Linked DNA regions of Drosophila melanogaster. The protein of the gene in region 1 interacts with the protein of each later gene in a pairwise test. Each region holds a gene or a part of one and is shown in the gene's direction. Other genes may lie near its edges.

Region 1 (4,533 bases):
TCGGGCAATCCGAACGCTTTTCTAAGCCATAGATGGCCAGTTATCATGTAAATTCAAAGTGTTATTTATACAGCTCTTGTGCGAGTCACACAGTGGGTTTGGTTTTTGGTGATAAGCCATGGGTTTCAAGCGAACCCATCGATAGCCGGAGCTTATCGGGTGGTGGTGGCTTATCAAACGGCCCATAAATGGAGCAGAAGCCACCGGCTGCTCGACGCCGGAACTCCGCGATACCAACAAATGGCGTCTATAGATTGCTACAAATGGCGACAACAATGCCACCAATTTGACCAGCAGCTCCAATGCTCGCCATGCTCGAAATGCGCAACAAATCCAAATTAATTCCCAATGGGCCGGTCAACAAAAGCCCCCCAGCCAGACCACTTGATAACTTCCCGATGGGCATGTGAAACTGATTAATGTGGCATTATAAATAGGACTCAAGTATGTGGTTGGGTCTTAATCGAAATTAGCTTACTTTGGGTAAAAATAAATTTATGGTATTTACGATAAATAAACAAATGCGCTTATTACTCGAACTGATTTACTTTGTGATCGAGAAACAAATGGAAACATGTTCCCTTTGCATTTAGTTTACTATCACCATTTAATTCAGTATAAATTTATCGAGTTATTGGTCTTAAAGCCAAGGATATAAAGTTTTAGGTTTTGGTTCAGAATCAGGACGATATGGACGACTTGAACGATGTCATCGCAAATTTGAGCATTAAATCCAAGAACTTTATAGATGAGGCTGCAAAATCATTAACCCCAACAATGGTGGGATTCAAAAGAGAACCTGAGCGAAATCAAAACTGTACCTACTTTATGCAGAATACCTGCCAGCTTTATCAAAACATTTCTAAATCCCATCCCAAGATTGAAAACAGTGTTAAATTCGATGAAGATTTTGTGATGCATATGGAACCTGAGATCAAGGTGGAATGCTCTGTTGATGATCCCAATAAAGAAGTTCAAATTTTGCTGTATGATCCTAAATCATTTACGTATAATATTTACATGAACATTTTTTTTTAACACAGAAAAAAGGAACGCTTGAAGCAGAAATATATGGAAGCTTTGAAGCTGGATGAAAACCTTGAAGCTAGAGTGAAACAATCGGCCATTGAATCCAATCCCGATATGGAGGAACAACAAGCTGAATTGTGAGATCATAACTTTATTTATGATAGCATTTACTTAACTTTATTGGCATTTATAGAAGAAAACTTCACAAGGATCAAGTGGAAATGTACAAAGGTGTGCAGGAAGAAATTATGGTTTCCTTCAAGAGAGACATGGATGATCTAATGCAACAGTATGAAGCTGAGTACTCGCGACTTAGTAAGGTCCACTCTAAGTGGGTAAATTCCGAGAATGATTCCACCAATAACTCAAACACTCATCAGCCTTAGTCATCGCTTAGGAATTTTTAAGATTTTAGCATTTTATTAGTGAAATCAAAACGTATTTATGTAGTTTCTTGGGTTTTAACATTTGACAATAAAAAATATTCAGTATATCAAATATTTTGTTTATTTTATACAGCTTTTTTATCACTTTTCCTTTGGCTTCAGCTCACTTAGTTCCGTCGCGCTCGGCCAGCAGATCCAGCATCACCTCGATCTTAAGATTACACATATTGTTCTCCTCCTCGAGGGCACGAAACTTCTTGTTCAGCCGGAGCATATCATCTACGTCACCCTTTCGGGTCGAATGCATCCAGATGCCGTCCGCAAAACGCAGCTCCTTGTTGCCCAGCGTTAGGGAAATCTGGCGGAAGTCATCCAGATCCTCGGTGGCCACCGGATGTCCTATATTGCAACGTCCCTGACGCACTGGAATCGGCTTCGACTCGAACTTCTTGTTGAAGAGCGGCATTGCAAACAACTGAAACGGAAAGTTGACCACATTTCGATTACATCCCCATTTGTTTGCCACTGCCCCGTTGCCCAGGACAACAGACACTTGTCAGGGGATCAGCGTTCGCGGCAGGACTCGTGCCAGGTTTTTAATGGCTAGTAAGACCGTATCCATATGTACCTGCTTGAAGGGTAGCGGCTGGCTGTCAGAGATTGACGAGGGGCAGCAAAAGGTTGCCAGTTGCATAAAATCGGTGAAATACAGAGAACTCCTTGCTGCACGCGGGGATACGGATGGATTTCTAAGCCAAACTGCCTTCAACAGGATTTTAAATGCCTGATAATTTAAAAGACAAAGCTTGCTTCATCGCAGAAACTCGTCTCATGTCAAACATAAACATTTTGTTTGGTTCATTGATGAAATTCTATACAAACACACAATAAACCCGATACACAACTCTGCTGTGAAAAATAATATGATTCCAAACACACAACAAATATGACACAACACGAAAATCAGCAAGCCATTCTCAGGTAGGAGAGCAAAGGAAAATTTGTCAACTAAAGTTAGTCAACGCGCAGCCAATTCACCATTTAGCAACTTTGTGCTGGAAATGTGTGAAGGAGTGGATCGACTGATGCGGGATCAGGCCGAACTGAAGGTTCACCTCAACGAAATTCTAAATGAGAACCGCCGGCTGGACATCGAATTGGCCAAATGCAGGAGCATCTTGGTTAGCGGCGATTACCAGGAGCTCAAGCATCGCCTTCAACTCAGCAACAAGGCTTTGGACGCGTCCAAGAAGCAGGTGGATGAGCTTATCAAGGAACGGAACAGCCTGAAAACCATGCATGACCTCTCCAAACAGACCATCGAAACCATGGAGATGGATCTTAAGAATTATCGCGTCCAATTGAAAATGTCTGGAGATGACCAGGTATTATTGCACTTCATCATTCCAATCCCGTATTGATTATCATATTATAGTAAGCTTTGACCAAATCGTATGTTTTAGGGACCAGAGACTAATGGAAAAATCCTAAAGTAAACTTCAACGTTTTCGGAATTCAATTTTAGGTCATACAGCGGTACTCGAAGATCGTCAAAGTGCTGGAGGCAAAAGTTGAGGACCAGCAGAAGGAGATACGCACGCAGGCGGAGACCATAAAGGCCCTGCACGATCACAAGCAGCACAGCGGATTGCAACTCCAGCAGCTGCATGCTCAACTGCAGGATAGCGAGCAGAGTCAATCCAAGGTGTCCATCCTGCAGAAGCAGCTTAAGGAGTACGAACTATCGCTGAGCCACACCCACAATTTGCTCATGGAGAGCACAAGACGGGAAACCGCCGCCATGCGCAAGCTCGAGGAGGCTATCATACTCAGCGAAGAGGCAAACAAGGAGAAAATAGATGCCACAAAGCTGGCCGAGACCTACAAGGAGGAGATGACCCACCTAGCCTCCAATATCGGTACCATAATGGATGAGGCCTCCACACGCGTCGACGTTGAAGTGGGCCATCTGAAGAATATGCTCAAGCAAAAGGACATTATAATTACCACCATAAAGGAGAAGGTAAAAGTCTATATTCGTATAATAATTATCACTTATAGTTACACTTACAAATTTTAGCTGAAAAAACTGGCTGTCGATCATAAGTCGGTGGTGCACATGCTGGAGACCCGGAGCAATCGCCTGGAGCAAAAGTACAAGGAGGTGCTGAAGCAGAACGATAAGCTGGAGGCCGAGTTGGAGGCAACTTGCCGGCGACTTGGCGAACTGGAGCGATCCGTTACTGAAGCTTACGGTGGGGATGCCGAAGATGCCAGGATGTGAGTATACAACATAGACAATTAATGACAAACATGATTATAAATCATAACGCTTTTAGAAAAATGTACTATAAGTCTCAAATGGATCGCTGCATAATGGATCACAAGAAAATGAAGGAGAAATACCGCGAGGGCATGGAGGACATCACGCAACGCTTCGAATCGGAAATTTACAAGTTAAGGGAGGAGAACTCCGTGCTGCTGGCGGAAAACGAACTGCTTAAGAGCGGTGCCGCAGGCGATAGCTCCAAGCAGACTTCACGCTGATTTTACGGTTGTACAAATATATATTTTATGATAACTCTCGTACATAATAAATTAGTTCTACGAGATCACACTATGTGGCGGCCGTTGTCTGTGCGTTTCGACCGGGAAACAAACTGGGAAACCAATAGGCTGGCTCATCGCCCGCCTGCTTGTCAATCCAACAGAGACCTTCGCCGAGCACCTTGTCCAGTGACTGTTGAGCACGATAGTCGGTCCAGCTGAGAACGGATAACACGGAAATCAAAGGGATATTCAGTTGAAAGTACAAGTGAAATTCTTACCCCAAATCCTTGATCAGCTGACTCTGCGTAACACAGCCTTGTTCGGTATTGGATGCGGCATTCAGTATGTTGGTCTCCTCCATGCTCAGCTCTCCGGGAATGGACTGAACTATGTACTTGCCCTTGCCCAGCTTGTGAACCACAAAGCTGAAGGTACGTTATGGAAAACGAGAAACTTGTGATATTGAATGCAAGCAGAGGTAATGACCCATACCCGTTGCCAAAAATGCTCAATTTCTTAGCGGCCATTAGGATGTCCTCCTTGGTGATCTCCTGGTGCACTGAACTCT
Region 2 (3,886 bases), 4.8 Mb from region 1:
CCAAGAAGCCAGGGGGTACTGCAATGAATTGTTAAATGGTGTTATTTTCATATGTCGCAGAAATCTATCAGGGACTTGAAGTTTGTTCCTTAAATGGTTAAATCTGTCTTAAAAATTGTCCCCAAAAATAGATTCGTAAGAAATAAATATTTTTAGGAATTATACTTTTTGTTGGACATGTTTTCTTTTTAAATACTGAGGCCTGTTTTTGTATGCATCAATACTTTTTAGTTTTAATATATAATTACCCTTGTGCTGCGCTTGTTGTGGCGGCTGCTGCTGCGACTGTTGTTTCTGATGATGCTGCTGCTGCAACATCTGTTGCTGCAACATGGTTGGTGTAGGCACCTGCTGCCTGTTACCCAGACTAAAATCATCAAACATTTTGCGTTCCGCCTGTTGCTGGCTCTGCTGCTGTTGTTTCGGAATGGCCTGCTGAATGATCATATTGCGCTCTATATCCTCGAGAGTTGTAATTTTTGGAAAAGGCTGTGGATTCAGTGCAAAGTTGGCATTCGCTTCCTGCGGTGGCTTCATTTGTTGTGGTTGGTGCTGCTGATGTTGCTGCTGCTGTGGCTTGAAGGCGCTGCGCATAGGCTCGCGGAACAAATGTTGGTTGTTGGGAAACGGCTGTGATCCCCAGACCCCGGAGTCCAGCTTAATGCGGTTGCTCAGCCCACCGGCTTCGCTATCAGTGGTGAAAGAGGACAGGTCCATGTCGTCCAACTTCATGGAGGAAATGTTTAGCTCCAAGTCCGAGTCCCCTATGTGACGAGACTGTCGGAAGGGGGCATTCAAAGGGGCCGGAGTGGAGCCGCTTGAAGAGGGCGCCGATGATAGCGGATTAGCGTGTCGCAGGAAGGCACCATTTCCCTGATCGGCAAAATCCGTATTTCCACTAGATTCCGCGGGTCGCTTCCGCACCCTTTCGCCATTCCCGCCCAGGCGTACCATCGTCTCATGGGCTTCCTCCCAGTCGCCATTTATAGCGGATCCAAAGGTTTCGTCATTGAGGGCATCGTATTCCGCCTCGACGATGCGTCCATCGCCACCATCTTCGTCCTGGAGAAACAATTGAAGCAAGTAAATTAGACATTCCTACTTTTTCTGCCCCCGGTGGCCTTCGATGCCCCCTTATTTGCCGAGTGAAAAGTGTGCGTTGGGCATTTGCCGACCCCTGTGCGGCCCGCTATCCCGGATATTGCAGCCGCAATGTCGGGACCGCTGCTTACCGGTAGATTCGTGTCAAAGCCGAAAAACGAGTCATCCATGGCGATAAATCTATTGCTTTACAAAAAATTATCATGACTTGTCAGTGACAAGTTGTCACCTCAGCAGTATAGCTGTCAAAATATCGATGGTACTATCGATAGTCTGACGTCGATGGTTTTCTGACTATCGCCACAATACATCAATTTCGCTCGCATATAAATATTATCATATTACAAATGTTGGAATTAACATGCAAATTTAAAATATATATTTTTTTCATACGTTTTTTTTCAATAGGTGAACGACTGAAGATTTGTCTAAATTTATAAGTTTGCATTTTGCTACAGTGATGTTAGAAAAAAATGATGATTTAACCACTGCCAAATTTCGTATGTTGCATATTTATTTATTCAGTTTGGGACTTACCACGACTGGTTAATAAGTCAACAACATTAGATTTTACTGATCAATGAAAAATCTGCCCTAATTAAGGTGCATTTGCACTCCTTCAATGTATTCGATATTTTGAACTAGTTCGAAACTTGAAATCAGCGCCCGCAAGCTCATCCCTAAATTACTAGTTCTTGAACTATTGCTTTGGACGGAACTACGAGCCTGTTTCCTTTTCCAAAACAACTTAGTCGAAATGAAGCGGAAAACGAGCGAGATCTGGTGCTTTTTCCGGGCGGTGGACGACACGTTTGCGGTGTGTAATATCTGCAAGGCGAAGCTCTCTTACAAGACGACCACCACGAATCTAAGCAAGCACATGAACAGGATGCACCCCACATCGGGACTCAACCGGAACTCCAAGTACAAATTCCAGCCGCAGACCACCATCGCCATCGACCGGAACAAAGCCAAGCCGCGCAACTCAACGCAAGAGCTGATATTGTTAGAATTCGTGAAGAAACATCCGCGTCTGCTTCAGAATCCGACGTGGGAAACACGGGGCAATCTGGAGTCGCTGTGGGAGGAACTGTCATCCGAACTTAATAGCCACGGTCCGCCGCGAAAAGATATAGCCACCTGGAGAAGGGTATTCTAACTTACTTTTTTTCTAACCGCTTGCATTATAAGTTGATTTGTTTGTAGGCCTTAAAGGACTGGAAGAGGTTTATCCTGAGAAAGGTGGAAAAGAATGAGATGCAGAACATGCCTTTTGGCACCAGTCTTACTTCGTCGGAGGAAACAATAGCCACACTGTGTAGATTAAACGAGGATGTAAGTCAGATTATTATGAAGGTCTCCGACGATGAAATGCATGAGAATTCCACCACGGAATTTGATGTGGACGAAGTAGAGGATGTGGTCCCGGAAGAAGATGGTGGCGCCCTTCAGACTTCCGCCGAGTACGTTTACGAACCGGAGGAGAACAAAACGGACATTGACCCGCTTTACCTGCAATCTAACAAACGGGCCGCATTGGCCAGCAGTCGACTGGCGGAGGAGGAGACCACACTGCTTGACAAGATTAGCAATAACCTAGAAATGGTGCACGATACCGCCAACAGCGTTCAACTTGCACTCAATGAATTTTTTGTCCTGTACAAGCAGAAGCTGTACGAGGACAAGCGACATCACTTGGCAATTGAACAGTTAATGGCTGAGAAAATAGAACTGAAAAAGAAACTATTGGAAATCGAGCAAAAAAAGCTGTCGCTCAAATAACGGGATATGCACAAAATTAAGTAATATCTTGGTAGTCTTAATAACCTAATCTTTAAATAATCTAAGTTATTCAATATTTTGATTAATTTTATCACATTTCTTTTAGCTTGGCCCAAGCCCACTTAATATACAAATTTAATTTAATTTTTTTGGTTTTATTTTATAAATATTTAGATAATATGGCGTTGTTCATCATAGACTTGCTTTAGAATCTCTTTAAATTCCAGGGGATAAGATGCGTCGTCCATAACAGCATCGTAAACATACTCTAAATTCTGTGGGAAAGATGGTTGAATAAAAAAACAAAGCAAAGTATTAGGCACATCACTTACTGATTTGGATTCATCTGAGGAGGAAGTCTTGCCCTCTTCGGGATCACTCAACCCATTTAAGTCTCCACAGGCTATAAAAGGAACTAGACGACGGTTTACTTCCGACCCTGTTTTCTGTGCCAGTAGCCGTATATCATCGCGAGCAGGGTTAATCACTTGAGGAATGTAGCCCTCGGGAAGGCAAAAATCGGAGCAAACCACAAAAGCTTCAATGCTCGAAGGACGCGAACTCGGTGGCTTGTAGATGTCGAATTTTTTGAAAAATATCTGCATCTGGGAGCTCAATAGCGATGTGGCATTTCCCTTAAAAATCTTGGCCACAAAAGTTCCGCCAGTTTCCAGCACACAGGTGGCAATGCTGAGAGCAGCCACAAGTAACTGGTGCTGCATGTACTCGTCCATTTCATGGACCCCGGTGACATCGGGGGCTCCATCGCAGACCACCAGCTGGGCTTTTTCATTTCCACCAAAGTGACCGATGATTGCTTCGGCGGTCGACTGCTTTGTGATATCTCCCTGGAGCTGGAGTATTCCACGGATCGGGGCCATGGCCTGCAGATCAACGGCTATGATCTTAACAGCGGACTTTTCATCGTCCGTTTCGCAGGTATCGTAGAGTTTCCGAGAGAGCACCTGGGACCAGCTGCCAGGAGCAGCACACAGATCGACTG
Region 3 (6,396 bases), 5.8 Mb from region 1:
TTAAACTTTGTGTTCTTATAGAGCTTGGGGTGTGGGTCCACTCACCTTCAGCATGTACTCCGGTGTCTCCGGCACGCCCACCATTTCCAATTGCGAGGGCATGACCATGAGCTGGTAGGGCAGCAGCGGCATCCGAATCAGGTGATATCCGTAGTCCTCCCACCAGGTGCCCAGCCAGTTCCTCATGCCGGCCGCCCGCTTCTTGAGCTGTTCGTGCAGCTGGGCTCCCACTCCGTTTTGGAACTCATCAATAGTCTTGCGGGCCTGGGCCAACTCCTCCTTGGTCCCGAATGGCTGGATGCAGCTGTAGTAGCGCTCCATGGTGTCCCTAAGCTCCGGCAGCGGGAGCGAAGGTAAGGTCTCGTCGAAGTCGAAGGTGTTCTTATCATCCTTGCTCATAAAATATAGACTAGCCCGGTCCATGGTGGTTTAGCTGCGGGGGACACGTTGGAATCGTTGATATCAGTCTGCGCGTGTGGTGGTTTTCTATAGGCCTAAGTCAGATTAGTACAATAATCATATCGGGAATCGCTTTTACGTTCGTCAGGTCCAAAGTTCACCCAATACATTACTGAGTACATTCACATCGGAAATAAATTGATCTCATCTTATAGGTTAAACATTAAAATGGTGTGCAAATTAATACCACACAACTAAGAACACTTAATGTGCAACTAAGCGGATTATGCGTCAAGTTGAACGTAATCTTTCTTGGACTGCAGCTAGACGACTATCTTCACTAATCTCCTCAAGCTGGACAAAGTCCGGATTGGGGAGCTTTATAAATATTTATACTCCCGGCGCACTGGTGAAATCATAGGCGAATTTCTAGCCCACTGACCTTTGTACTCGATGGGGAATTCACTTTTGCCGGAGACAACTGAAGCGCCAGACTGCCGTTATACGACTGAATCCATAGGTTGGTTCCATATCACAGCAAACCTTGCCGGAGGGGGAGCACTTGAATTATCGCACCGTGGGATCCGCCACCCGCGTCCACTGACTCAGTGCGATAATATATCACCCTAATCATTGCTATTGCAGACAGTCGGCCACCGATAATGGCCGGTTTCATTTGAATTTCTATATGAATTTCTTTTTTAATAACATATTCCAGCAGACACACCCACACAAACCTTCGATGAGGCGGCAGTTGAATGTCGCGCCCGAACTTCAGTTTGCGATGCACTCGATCGAAATTAAAACGGTTCCGCAGCTATCAAGTTCATTAGGCTAGATAAGCAAACAATTTTATAGGTTAAACAATTATTTTTATTATTATACTGCTGCGTTTTTGTTTACAAGCGGCGAAGACCCTATAGGAAATTGGCACAGCAAACAGCTGTTTGCAGGAGTTGCCAGACTTTTTACACCATTTGTTTATACCGTTAGTCACCACATTCTTATTACGTACATCTTATTCTTATTAACATCGCATAGCATTGTACATCGTACCGCAAGATATAATCCTCCCGGATTGATGCAATCAACTGCCATAAACGTACATTGTAACCGTTAACAAAATGCGAATATTGTTTACAATTATTAATTAAATAGGTCATTCAATGTTTTGTAAATATTTAAAACTTATTTAAATTTATTTAATTTAATTCCTTAGCATCCATTCATAGCATCCATGCTGACGCCTATCTGGCAACGCCGCCAGCAGCTGAAACAGCTGACATCTGTCGAAATGAGTGAAAGAGACAGGCAGAAAGAATAGAAAGAAATTTGGGACGCTTGTTTTCTCAAGCGGCTTTATTAAATTTCTAATCCCAGCAAGAGGTGGAAATGCTGCCATCCACGGGTCTCTTTAAGGGCTTCTTGTGCCCTTACTTTGACGGCCAGGATGCGGCGTCCTGCAAGCGCCCCTTTTGCCACTTTAAGCATGCTCGCAAAGGTGAGTGAATTACGTCCAGTTAATTTCGCAACAAATTCTATCCACTCTCGGTTTACAGACGAATTGGAGGCCGCTCCACCTGCAGAACCTTCCCCCGTGCCCAAGTACAAGCCGGCACCCAAGTTGCTCTCCCTTCCACTGCCCCAGATCACGCTATGTGCGCCCCGGAAGAAGTCCAATCTGGAGTACCACCCGGAGAAGCCGGCTCTTGACGCATCGCCGGCTAAGAAGAAGCAGGAGGCGTCCGTGGACAGTGCTCCCAAATATGTGCCCGGCCAGCCATCTGTTACAAATGGCGAAGAATATGACGATTGGCAGGCGGTACTCGAAAAGGAAATTGATGAGCAGATGCAGGTGGAGATTGAGGAGCAAGTCCAGAATAACGACGAAGAACAGAAGATAGATACGGTAGCTGAAAACGAGGAGGACCAGGAGAATACGCAACTGACGGATGCTAGGGATAGCCACGAAAAGGATCGAAAGCCCAGCAAGGAGCGGGAAAGGGATATAGAAAAGAAGAAGATCAGAGAGCTGAAAAGGGAAAAGATCAAAGACAGGGATCGGGACCGGGACCGGGACCGGGAAAAAGACAAAGAGAAGAGCAAGGAAAGGGACAGAGAGAAGGAAAAAAATGATAGGGATAAGCGAAAGTCCTCCCACAGCGACAAGGAGCGCTCCAAGGAGCGAAATACTTCAAGCTCAAGTTCCTCTAAGCACAAGTCTTCATCTAGCTCCTCTTCCAGCAAAAAGTCATCCAGCAGCGATAAGCACCGCGACGACAAAAGTTCCAGTAGCAGGCACAAGAGCAGTTCTTCATCATCCTCCTCGAAGAGCCATCATCACAAATCTAGTTCCTCGAGTTCACGGTCCAAAACTAAGAGGAGCTCGTCTTCCAGCAAAAGCGCTGGCACTTCAAAGAGCGAACCGGAGGCGGATAAGGATACTGAAGCAGCTGTACTGACACCAGCAGAACCTATGGATGATCTGGATGACATGGACTTTGATTTTGAAGCAGACACCTCGGAAGGAGAAATTGTACGCCAGTGTGAAATGATTTTTGACGAGATGGAAAAAAAATTTGCGCAGATGCACAAGGACGAAGGCGGCAATGCCAACCCGGAGAGTTCTCGCAAGCGCAAAGCTCCTTCTCCGGACATTGATACCTTCACCGAGGCAGCCACGGCGGCTCTGCAGAAGCGCCGGGTGGCCCACGAGAATGCTGACAAGATCACGCCTCATTTGGCTCCTTCGGCGGCGATGCGCAAACCCAATCACGTCCGTAATGCCATGCAGGCGATCTTCAACCGCCGCGCGGAGCTGCGGCGCCAGGAGAAGCTACAAGCCGAAGCCTCAGCGGAGCAGGTACGTCAGGCACAGGAGCGGGTGCGCCAAGCGCAGGAGGAGCTCCGTCAGGCCAAGGTCAACTCCAACCTCACGCCACTTATTTCGCGAAGTGCTCTGACCCCACCAGTGCGATCAGGTGAGCATACCACTTTGGAATATATAATAATTCAAATTCAAATATTTTTGGTTACCAGCTCGCAGCATAGCACCTGTGGCCAACATTGTGGCCATCGCTCGGGCCAAAAAAAAGATCGAGGAGCTGCAGGCCGAGAAGAAGCCAGCCTTTACGCCTGCACAATCATTCAAGGGCGCCGGCCGTGTGGCTCACAAGCCCACTGCTGCGCTAGACAAAGCGGCTCCTGTGTCCAACGCGGAGAAGCCAACCGTCCTAGATCCCAGCAGCTCCAAGATATCATACAACGTGCGCATTCAGTATTATGAGATGATGGTAAGGCACTGCACCGTCATCTATCCGCAGCTGGCAGATGCCTGGGAGCGCGCCCAGGTGGAGGAGTTGACCGTCTTTAAGAAGTGCAACACGCCTGCCATCTACAAGAACAGCTGCATGCTGGCGATTAACAAGCTCCGCAAGGAGGCCTTAGAGGCGGGAAACAAGCCGAGCGTAGCCTGCAAGACTGTGTCGCACGAGATGATGCTGGGCGGCAAGCGGGCGCTCACCACATCCTGGAGCGTAGAGAAAAAGGGGTGGGTTTGTATACTAAACTATAGTTATTCTCTATGTGCACATTATAAGATGAAATTCGCTTAATTGTAAATACTGCCACTGGCCACAAGCATAAACGTAAACATAAGCATAATTTCTCTTTATGACTTCACATTTCTTCCTGGAAGTCATGAATGTTAACTTTTATGACATTTGTACGTATTTCTAACATTTCAATTGCATATAAAAAGTTTTTGATATCTTTACCCTAACAAACATTAAATATATATCTATTGCAGAAAACTGAGCTCCTTGGGCAATGGCGAACCTTTCGATGCTTTAGACGCCGAGAAAGCTTACAAAATGGTATTCGATCTTCGCCTGACTGAAGAGCAGCTGGTGGAGAACGGATATCCGCGTCCGGGCGATAAGCGCGGATCCGCAGTGATACGCGCCTGCCGCCCCAACCGTCGTCCCAACCAGAAAGAGCGCTACTGTTCCCGCTGCGGCAAGGTATTCAGCTTGGACATATACGAGCACCAGAGCTTTGACATGTGCAACTACCATCCGAAAAGCACGGGATATCGACGAGGATTCACGGACCACCAGCATCGCTGCTGCCAGCAGCCGGCGGGCACTCCAGGCTGCACCTATGCCAACTACCACGTCAGCGACTATTACGATCCGGAAAAGCTCACCTGTTTCGTGAAGACGATCGAACGGGGTGAGGAATTTGTGCCCACTAAGAAGGACATATATGCACTGGATTGCGAGATGTGTTATACCACACACGGAATAGAGCTAACCCGCGTTACGGTGGTGGACATAAATGGACGCAGCGTTTACGATGCTCTTGTCAAGCCGGACAACCAGATTGTGGACTACAATACGACGTGGGTGAATGTAGCTTTTCGGTTGTTTCGTATTAATCTGCAATACTCTGACTTCAGCTACTCGGGCATCACGGAGGCGATGCTCTCCAATGAGACGCGTACCATACGCGACGTTCAGGCGGTGCTGATGTCCATGTTCCATGCCAAAACCGTGCTCGTTGGCCACAGTCTGGAGAGCGATTTGAAGGCACTCAAACTCATTCACGACGTTGTGGTGGACACATCGGTGCTGTTTCCCCACAAGATGGGACCGCCAAAGAAGCGAGCTCTGAAAACACTGTGCATTGAAAACCTAAAGCGGATTATACAGGAGAGCGGTGAGTGTGTCTAGTCTTTTACTTTATCACTTGACGTAAGAAGTTTATTATAATTATTATATTTCCTTCTTCCACAGAGGCTGGCCACGACAGTGCCGAGGATGCTGAGGTGTGCATTCAGCTCATCAAGTATTATCTGCGCAACAAAATCAGTTGAGCTGCTATCACGCACCATCGCAAGCATTCAGTTCAAAAGCATTACGTACATCTGTTAATATGTATATCATGCCCATCAAAAATCAAAGCCTTAGCCTTTAAGCTAACCATATTATGTAAAATCAAACTGTATAAATATATCACCAAGCGATGACAGCGAAAAATAAGTAAAGCTTGCTTTAAATGCCAATTTAAAGTGATTGAAGTGTGGCACATGGAACTTAAAGAACGCTGTACAGTACGCTACGGATTTGGCGAGTCCTTTGAAGAATTTCTTACCTCGAGCCTTCAACCAGGTATATTTGTTCATTTTTCTCTATTTTTGCCTTGCCCATTTTTCCTTGCGTTTTTTCCATTCTCTTCACTATCGATAACAATTCAATGAAAAGCAATTGGAAAGTTTTGTAAAGTTTTTTACCTGCCACCGCGTTACAAACTGTAATTGCAAGTTTCGTGCCTGACGCACATCACAGAATATTCGCCGCTGCCCTCGTCCCGCCCCCAGGTTGGCCGCCTTGTTTTTGTTGTTATTATTTAAATGTAATTTTAATCAGATTGCGGCGATACTTTATATTTTTCAATTATACTCGGCCTCGTCTGCTGGCCGTGGGCACCATCTGGATATTGGCTTCTGGTTGCTCCTCACTGGCGCATGATTTTTCAATTTTAACGTTTTATAATTTTCCGTTCTGTGCGTTCCGGTAAAAGTTTGGCTTATTGAGAATGCAGCCAAAGTTTCAGCACTTAATTCGGCATAATTGTTGCCCCCGGCCAGCTCCAGCTCCACCGAATGACAGGAGGAGCCATAGGCATTAAGTGGGATCCCAAACCCCAATCCTTGCGGGAAATGGCTGATGGCGACACGTGTTTATCTATTGAGCTGGCACAACACAACCTAACGAAAAGTAAATAATATTAGTGCTACTTGGCAATGACAATGTGCATATGTGGCCCAGTATGAGGAGCAGGCCCAACGGCCACAGGAGCACACACAAGCCAGGATGCGAAAGTGCTGCTTGAGGCTTAGCAGCCAGAGCAGTAGCGCTGGAATCACAGCTGCACTGGGGAAAAATAGTCCTAAGCAAGTTTCTTGAAAGGAAATAATAATTAGATACTTATTTC
Region 4 (5,297 bases), about 18 Mb from region 1:
AGGTGCAGTGTGTACTTAATTCAAGAAAAGGGCAACGCCCACTTCAACGTCCACAAGCTGCCTACTTTTGATATACGAATAATATTTTGGTTATTTTTAAAAAAGTTTTAATTTTATTTATTTAAAAATTTTTACTCTAACCAACAAACCAATAAATGCTCGCAAGTCAACAATTTCTTTTTTCTGATTTATGTATAATTTCTTTTCTGCAGATAAGCACAAGCCAACAAAGTAAAGAAAAAACACTTAAGTAACAGGTATCTGATAGTCGACATATATAAGCATATAAGCATATATATATATAACATATAAGCCTCCGCTTCCCATTAAAACCCAAACGGATTCTTTTCACACATAAACTACCCATAATGCTTTTATCAAAACTGTATTTGAGTTTTTGTTATCTATAGTCGTAGTTGAATACACTGTCACCTTACACGATCTTCTAAATCTAATGTAATGGACAATAATCCGACGACCCCTGCTTTGCTTGCTCAGAGCTCCTCGGTAAACGTGTTCCACGATGAATCACTGTTACCTCAGCGTAATGTAAAAACAAGTAAATCCCCCAATAAAAGCTAAGATATTCCGAGGGACTACAGCAATTTGCGATTTCATAGGTGAGAATGTTCCACCAACTTGTGCGGAGAAAACGTTGTTTGTGCTGTCCATGATTCTGATAGTCCTTTGCCTGCCGTGGTCCCTATTCTGCTGTCTCAGGGTAATGTCGGAGTACGAGCGAGCGGTAATCCTGCGCCTGGGTCGCCTGCGCCCTAAGCCCCCGAGGGGGCCAGGCGTCATCTTTCTCGTGCCCTGCATTGATGACCTCGCTGTTGTGGACATACGTACCAGGTCATTTGACCTACATAGACAGGAAATCCTCACTCGTGACATGGTGACGATCAGCATCGACGGAGTGGTGTACTACAGCATCAAGAGCCCATTCGACGCCATGCTGCAAGTATACGATCCGGAGGAGGCGACCGAGAAGCTAGCAATGACCACGCTGCGTAACGTGGCCGGCACCCACAAGCTAATGGATTTGCTCTCGTCCAAGGAGTACCTCTCCAACCAAATAGAGGGTATATTGTACAACTCCACAGAGCCCTGGGGCATACGCGTGGAACGGGTCGAGATGTAAGTACTTTTTGTCTTACAATGGATCAATAATGCGTTATGATATATTCGGCAGCAAGGAGATCTTCATGCCTGATCAACTGAAGCGCGCCCTGGCTGTGGAACAGGAGGCGATGCGTGAGGCCAAGGCCAAGGTGGCCGCGGCGCAGGGGGAGCGAGATGCGGTAACTGCTCTGAAGGAGGCTGCCGACATAATGGAGACCAACCCCATAGCCCTGCAGCTACGGTACTTGCAAACACTGAACTCCATCTGCAATGATGACACCCGGTCCTACGTCTTTCCTTTTCCTGTAGACATTGTGAGGAATTTGATGAAGTAGGATTGAATTCAGAAAATGCGTTCCGTTTTTATGTACGTTCCATATAAAAATTACTTACCTATTAAATAGAATTTAGTTCATCTGAAGAGGGGACCCAATCCGAAACATTTCTCTGGACACACAGTTTCGAAATCGTTTAACACCATATATTAGAAGCATACTACCATCTTACAGTAAATTAAATCGATATTTTCTAGCAGATAAGGGGAAATGCCCCAGTACTTTGCTTTAAATAAGCAAAAAAAAAACCGTAACTTCGATAATTGCTTGCCGGATGTACAAATTTCAGATGCTGTATTTATTTGGTCAAGGTGTATTGTATTGATACAATACTATTTTCAACTCAAGGCTCGTTATTAGCCACAAACTCAAAAGATTACACGTACTATACGACGTCACTGTCGTAGTATTTACTATTTGCTGTTTATATTTCATTTTAAAAAGACCAAATAATGTCCAATATTTGCCCCGGGACTTCGCTGCTGTCAGTTAGAAATCTCCAAAGCTTTTGTCAAAGAAAGCTATTTCATTCGATGTCTAAACCAACTCCCAGAAAAAACTTTGCCGAGTTTAATATGAGCTTTTGGATTTGCAGTTTGTACTTACATATATATTTCAACATATTTTCAATCTAATAACACAAAACCAGTCAGATCGTGCGCTTGAAAAGGAATTCAAATTTATAATCAATAATATAAGTGTGCAAAATTATTCAATGTTATTTTACCTGGGCTTAAAGAAAATCACTCGACTGGATGTCCAACATTAAGCAATCAGCAATCATTTTCTGCGGATGACCTGTGCCCACTTATTATTGATTGTTTTTGGTATTTCTATATTTTAATTATTTAATTCAATCCTAATGTAGGCGCCATAAGCCTTGGCCATGCAAATAGCCGACACACGAAACGCCATGAAATAAAAATTAATGAAGTTTGAAATTTGAACAGGGAAGAGCTGTAAACGAAGTACATTTCTGCGGCGTATCCAAAGAGTGCGCCAAAAAGCCGCGGACTCAGTGTAGATACCATTGCGTAACTCCGTGGGCCAAGACGCTCTTATCTTTTGTCTGCAAGATTAGGTCGGAGAAAAGCACCAGGAGTTGCCGATGCCCACAATTTGCTGATTGCGGGGGCGCCACAGCTCGTGTGAACGGGTGGCTTGCATAATAAGTCGATCATAAGTGTGATGCCGCAGTATTTGCGTACTCGTAACGGATCGGGGAAGAAACGCACGCCACACGGTAATTTGAAGCGATTGTGCTTCATCTTGGCCCGCACTGCCATTTGTGTTTTGATAAATCTCCAGTCATATATCAAATCGTCAGCACCACTTACCTGGCCCAACAGGGCCCCCAATTATGACCCATGCTATGACGGACATTGATTTAAGCATTAGGACTTGCCTTTTTTCGTCAGCTAAATGCTGAAAATATAATACAGAAAATACATATTATGTTATAGATCAAATTGTGCAACTATGTACCAATTACAATTTAATAATTGGGTCATCGGAAACCAAAGCAATTTCTGAAATTCATTAAGACATAGTGAAAAAGCGAAAGTTTTCCAGGTAGACGCCATTTTAAATGAGACTATTGTGTGATCAATGCAAGTTGCGATTCGAGATTTTGCGTTGCAAAGGTTCGTCAATTATGATCGGCCATCAACAGCAACAAATATCCACCATCATGATCACCTCAAAAGCTAGAGAAATGGATGTGCCAAACTAATCTCCACATTTGTATGTGTCCATCGCACAAGACTTCCAACTAGACGACGCTTTCGACTTGGCCCTAAGTTGAAGCTCGAGAGCTTTAGGGTTTTGGGTGAGTTCCCAAAAAGTTACCGTTACCTCAAGGTTGTATGAAAACGCAAGCGAGTTTTCGTGCGGCTTGAGCGTTTGTGGTTTCAGTTTCATTTAAACTTTGCGTTGCGGACACAACTTTTTCGTACCGACATTATCGAGTCAGCGACATAAAAGTCTGGGCGGCTAGTGATTAGCATTTAGTTGAATTTTGATTGCCAAGGGACCGGTGTCTTCAACTCAATCGGAAATGCATTTCTTCATTGTAAGCCCTCTAGTGTCAGCCGAGGTGTCCAAGCACCAATAGTAATGACTTAGTTTTATAGGTGCCGTGCCTCCTAGGACTTGCAGCCGGCATTCCTCAAGGATACAACTACCAAGCCCAGCAACAGCTTCAATCGTCGGCGCAAGCTGGTCAACTCCATCTGCCTTCTATTCCGCAGTTTGCCACCCTTGCGGAGCAGACGATCCTTCAGCAGGCACTCCAGGCTCCAAAGTTGCAGCAGGTCCTGACCGGAGGAGAAGGGCTCGCATCTTACTCAAATCAAAACCAGGCCTCCGCTTACCAACAGCAGGCGACGCAGTTCGGCCCAAATTCGGCGTACAATGCGCTGCCCCAGGCACATCAGCCTCAGCAGCAGCACCTCGTCTCCAAGGACATCTACGTCCATGTGCCACCAGCAGAAGAGCCCGAGGACCGCTACCCTCAGCCCGTCCTTCCGCCCGCGCCTCCGCGCAAGCATTATCGCATAGTTTTCATCAAGGCACCGACGACCAGTGTCTCGAAGGCGGCGTTGCGCATCAAACAGGCTCCTGTGGAGGAGAAGACCATCATCTATGTGCTGACCAAGAAGCCGGACCCACTAGATCTCCAGACTGCCATCGAGGAAATCGCGCCGAAGCAGCCCAGCAAGCCAGAGGTATTTTTCATCAAATACAAGACCCAGGAGGAAGCTGCGCATGCGCAACGTACCATTCAAGGTGAGCAACACCCGCATCGAGCAGATGCTATGAGACACACTTGAAGACCTCATCAGTATGCAACAGACCTCAAATGTTTCGATTTGCAAGCTTCATAGAAATGTCTATCGACCAATTAATCTGGCTTGTCCAAATTTTTATTACCCGATTTTTAACCGATTTACTTCTTTTAGCTCAATATGACCAGCTTGGCGGAACATCACAGGTTTCTGACGAGGGAGTTGCACCCGTTACATCCGTGATTGGCGTACTGGACAACCAGCGCAACAACGGAATTTCATCCGGACAGTTTTCTGGCTCCTTGCCAAACAGCTACTTGCCAACTAATCTGCGTGCTTAGGTACAACTCCAAGGCCACTGTCGTAATTTTAAGACTTGAACTCTTGTAATTTACACATTTAGTTAAATAAAGTTCATATTTTGAGCTCCGCCTTATGATAGAAAGCGACTCTGCAGCCATATTCAAATATGAAATCGAGTTTCAATACTTCAAAGTAACAAAATAGTTTTCTATGGACCATGTTACCACATCCATTAGTCCAATGACAGCCATCCAAGCCGAAAACCGGTCGCATAAATTAGCATGTGATTTGACTTACATAACAACGATTAAGCCACACGAAAACTTGATTATTATGGCTGTTGGCTTAATGCCAAAAGAGATGGTCCAAACTTTCTTGCGAGAAAGAAGTCATTGTCATAGTCTCTTAGCCCATTGAAACATTTTTGTGATAAAAATAAACAGCGTTTTCATAAGAAACATTAAACTCAAGCTATGCCTTAAATGAAAGATTAATTCCAAATCCTAAAACAAAACCTATCTAAAATATTAAAAGGATTAAACTTAAAAACGAGTACTAGAAACAGAAGGCTTTTTGGGTTTCGATTTAAATTTTTTTATATTTCTTTCGACTTTCGACTTTTGCATTAAAAATAAATTAAAATTTACTACAGTATGATGGTTGATATAAAACAATGAAAGCGATAGGATTCTTACTACAACTTTTTAAAAAGTCTTTGCCGGCACATACTTCCTTGATGGCGCCGAGGGAG

The links.
Region 2: the proteins of CG6569 (region 1) and bdwf interact in a two-hybrid assay, tested with the Drosophila melanogaster proteins (one large-scale study listed by BioGRID).
Region 3: the proteins of CG6569 (region 1) and CG12877 interact in a two-hybrid assay, tested with the Drosophila melanogaster proteins (one large-scale study listed by BioGRID).
Region 4: the proteins of CG6569 (region 1) and TwdlG interact in a two-hybrid assay, tested with the Drosophila melanogaster proteins (one large-scale study listed by BioGRID).

The regions. Positions count from the first base shown.
Region 1 is NT_033777.3:21,865,672-21,870,204, reverse strand, and holds CG6569 (uncharacterized protein), read left to right. Parts: upstream 1-2,285; 5' UTR 2,286-2,361; coding exon 2,362-2,396; exon of another isoform or gene 2,397-2,460; coding exon 2,461-2,800; intron 2,801-2,850; coding exon of another isoform or gene 2,851-2,853; exon of another isoform or gene 2,854-2,878; coding exon of another isoform or gene 2,879-2,911; exon of another isoform or gene 2,912-2,940; coding exon 2,941-3,438; intron 3,439-3,495; coding exon 3,496-3,695; intron 3,696-3,754; coding exon 3,755-3,962; 3' UTR 3,963-4,032; downstream 4,033-4,533. Other genes in the region: CG31174 (uncharacterized protein), read left to right, coding at 691-986, 1,044-1,166, 1,223-1,415; lsn (larsen), read right to left, coding at 4,033-4,180, 4,244-4,390, 4,458-4,533.
Region 2 is NT_033777.3:17,041,035-17,044,920, reverse strand, and holds bdwf (bedwarfed), read left to right. Parts: upstream 1-1,784; 5' UTR 1,785-1,858; coding exon 1,859-2,251; intron 2,252-2,307; coding exon 2,308-2,883; 3' UTR 2,884-3,025; downstream 3,026-3,886. Other genes in the region: Patr-1 (protein associated with topo II related - 1), read right to left, coding at 1-18, 249-1,062, 1,233-1,271; Trm7-32 (tRNA methyltransferase 7-32), read right to left, coding at 3,054-3,158, 3,216-3,886.
Region 3 is NT_033777.3:27,705,419-27,711,814, forward strand, and holds CG12877 (uncharacterized protein), read left to right. Parts: upstream 1-1,681; 5' UTR 1,682-1,791; coding exon 1,792-1,900; intron 1,901-1,958; coding exon 1,959-3,380; intron 3,381-3,438; coding exon 3,439-3,949; intron 3,950-4,207; coding exon 4,208-4,801; intron 4,802-4,858; coding exon 4,859-5,118; intron 5,119-5,195; coding exon 5,196-5,275; 3' UTR 5,276-5,439; downstream 5,440-6,396. Other genes in the region: CROT (carnitine O-octanoyltransferase), read right to left, coding at 46-423.
Region 4 is NT_033777.3:4,248,138-4,253,434, reverse strand, and holds TwdlG (TweedleG), read left to right. Parts: upstream 1-2,093; 5' UTR 2,094-2,700; intron 2,701-2,920; 5' UTR 2,921-3,513; coding exon 3,514-3,528; intron 3,529-3,589; coding exon 3,590-4,244; intron 4,245-4,417; coding exon 4,418-4,584; 3' UTR 4,585-4,712; downstream 4,713-5,297. Other genes in the region: CG14644 (uncharacterized protein), read left to right, coding at 460-559, 621-1,137, 1,193-1,457; TwdlF (TweedleF), read right to left, coding at 5,251-5,297.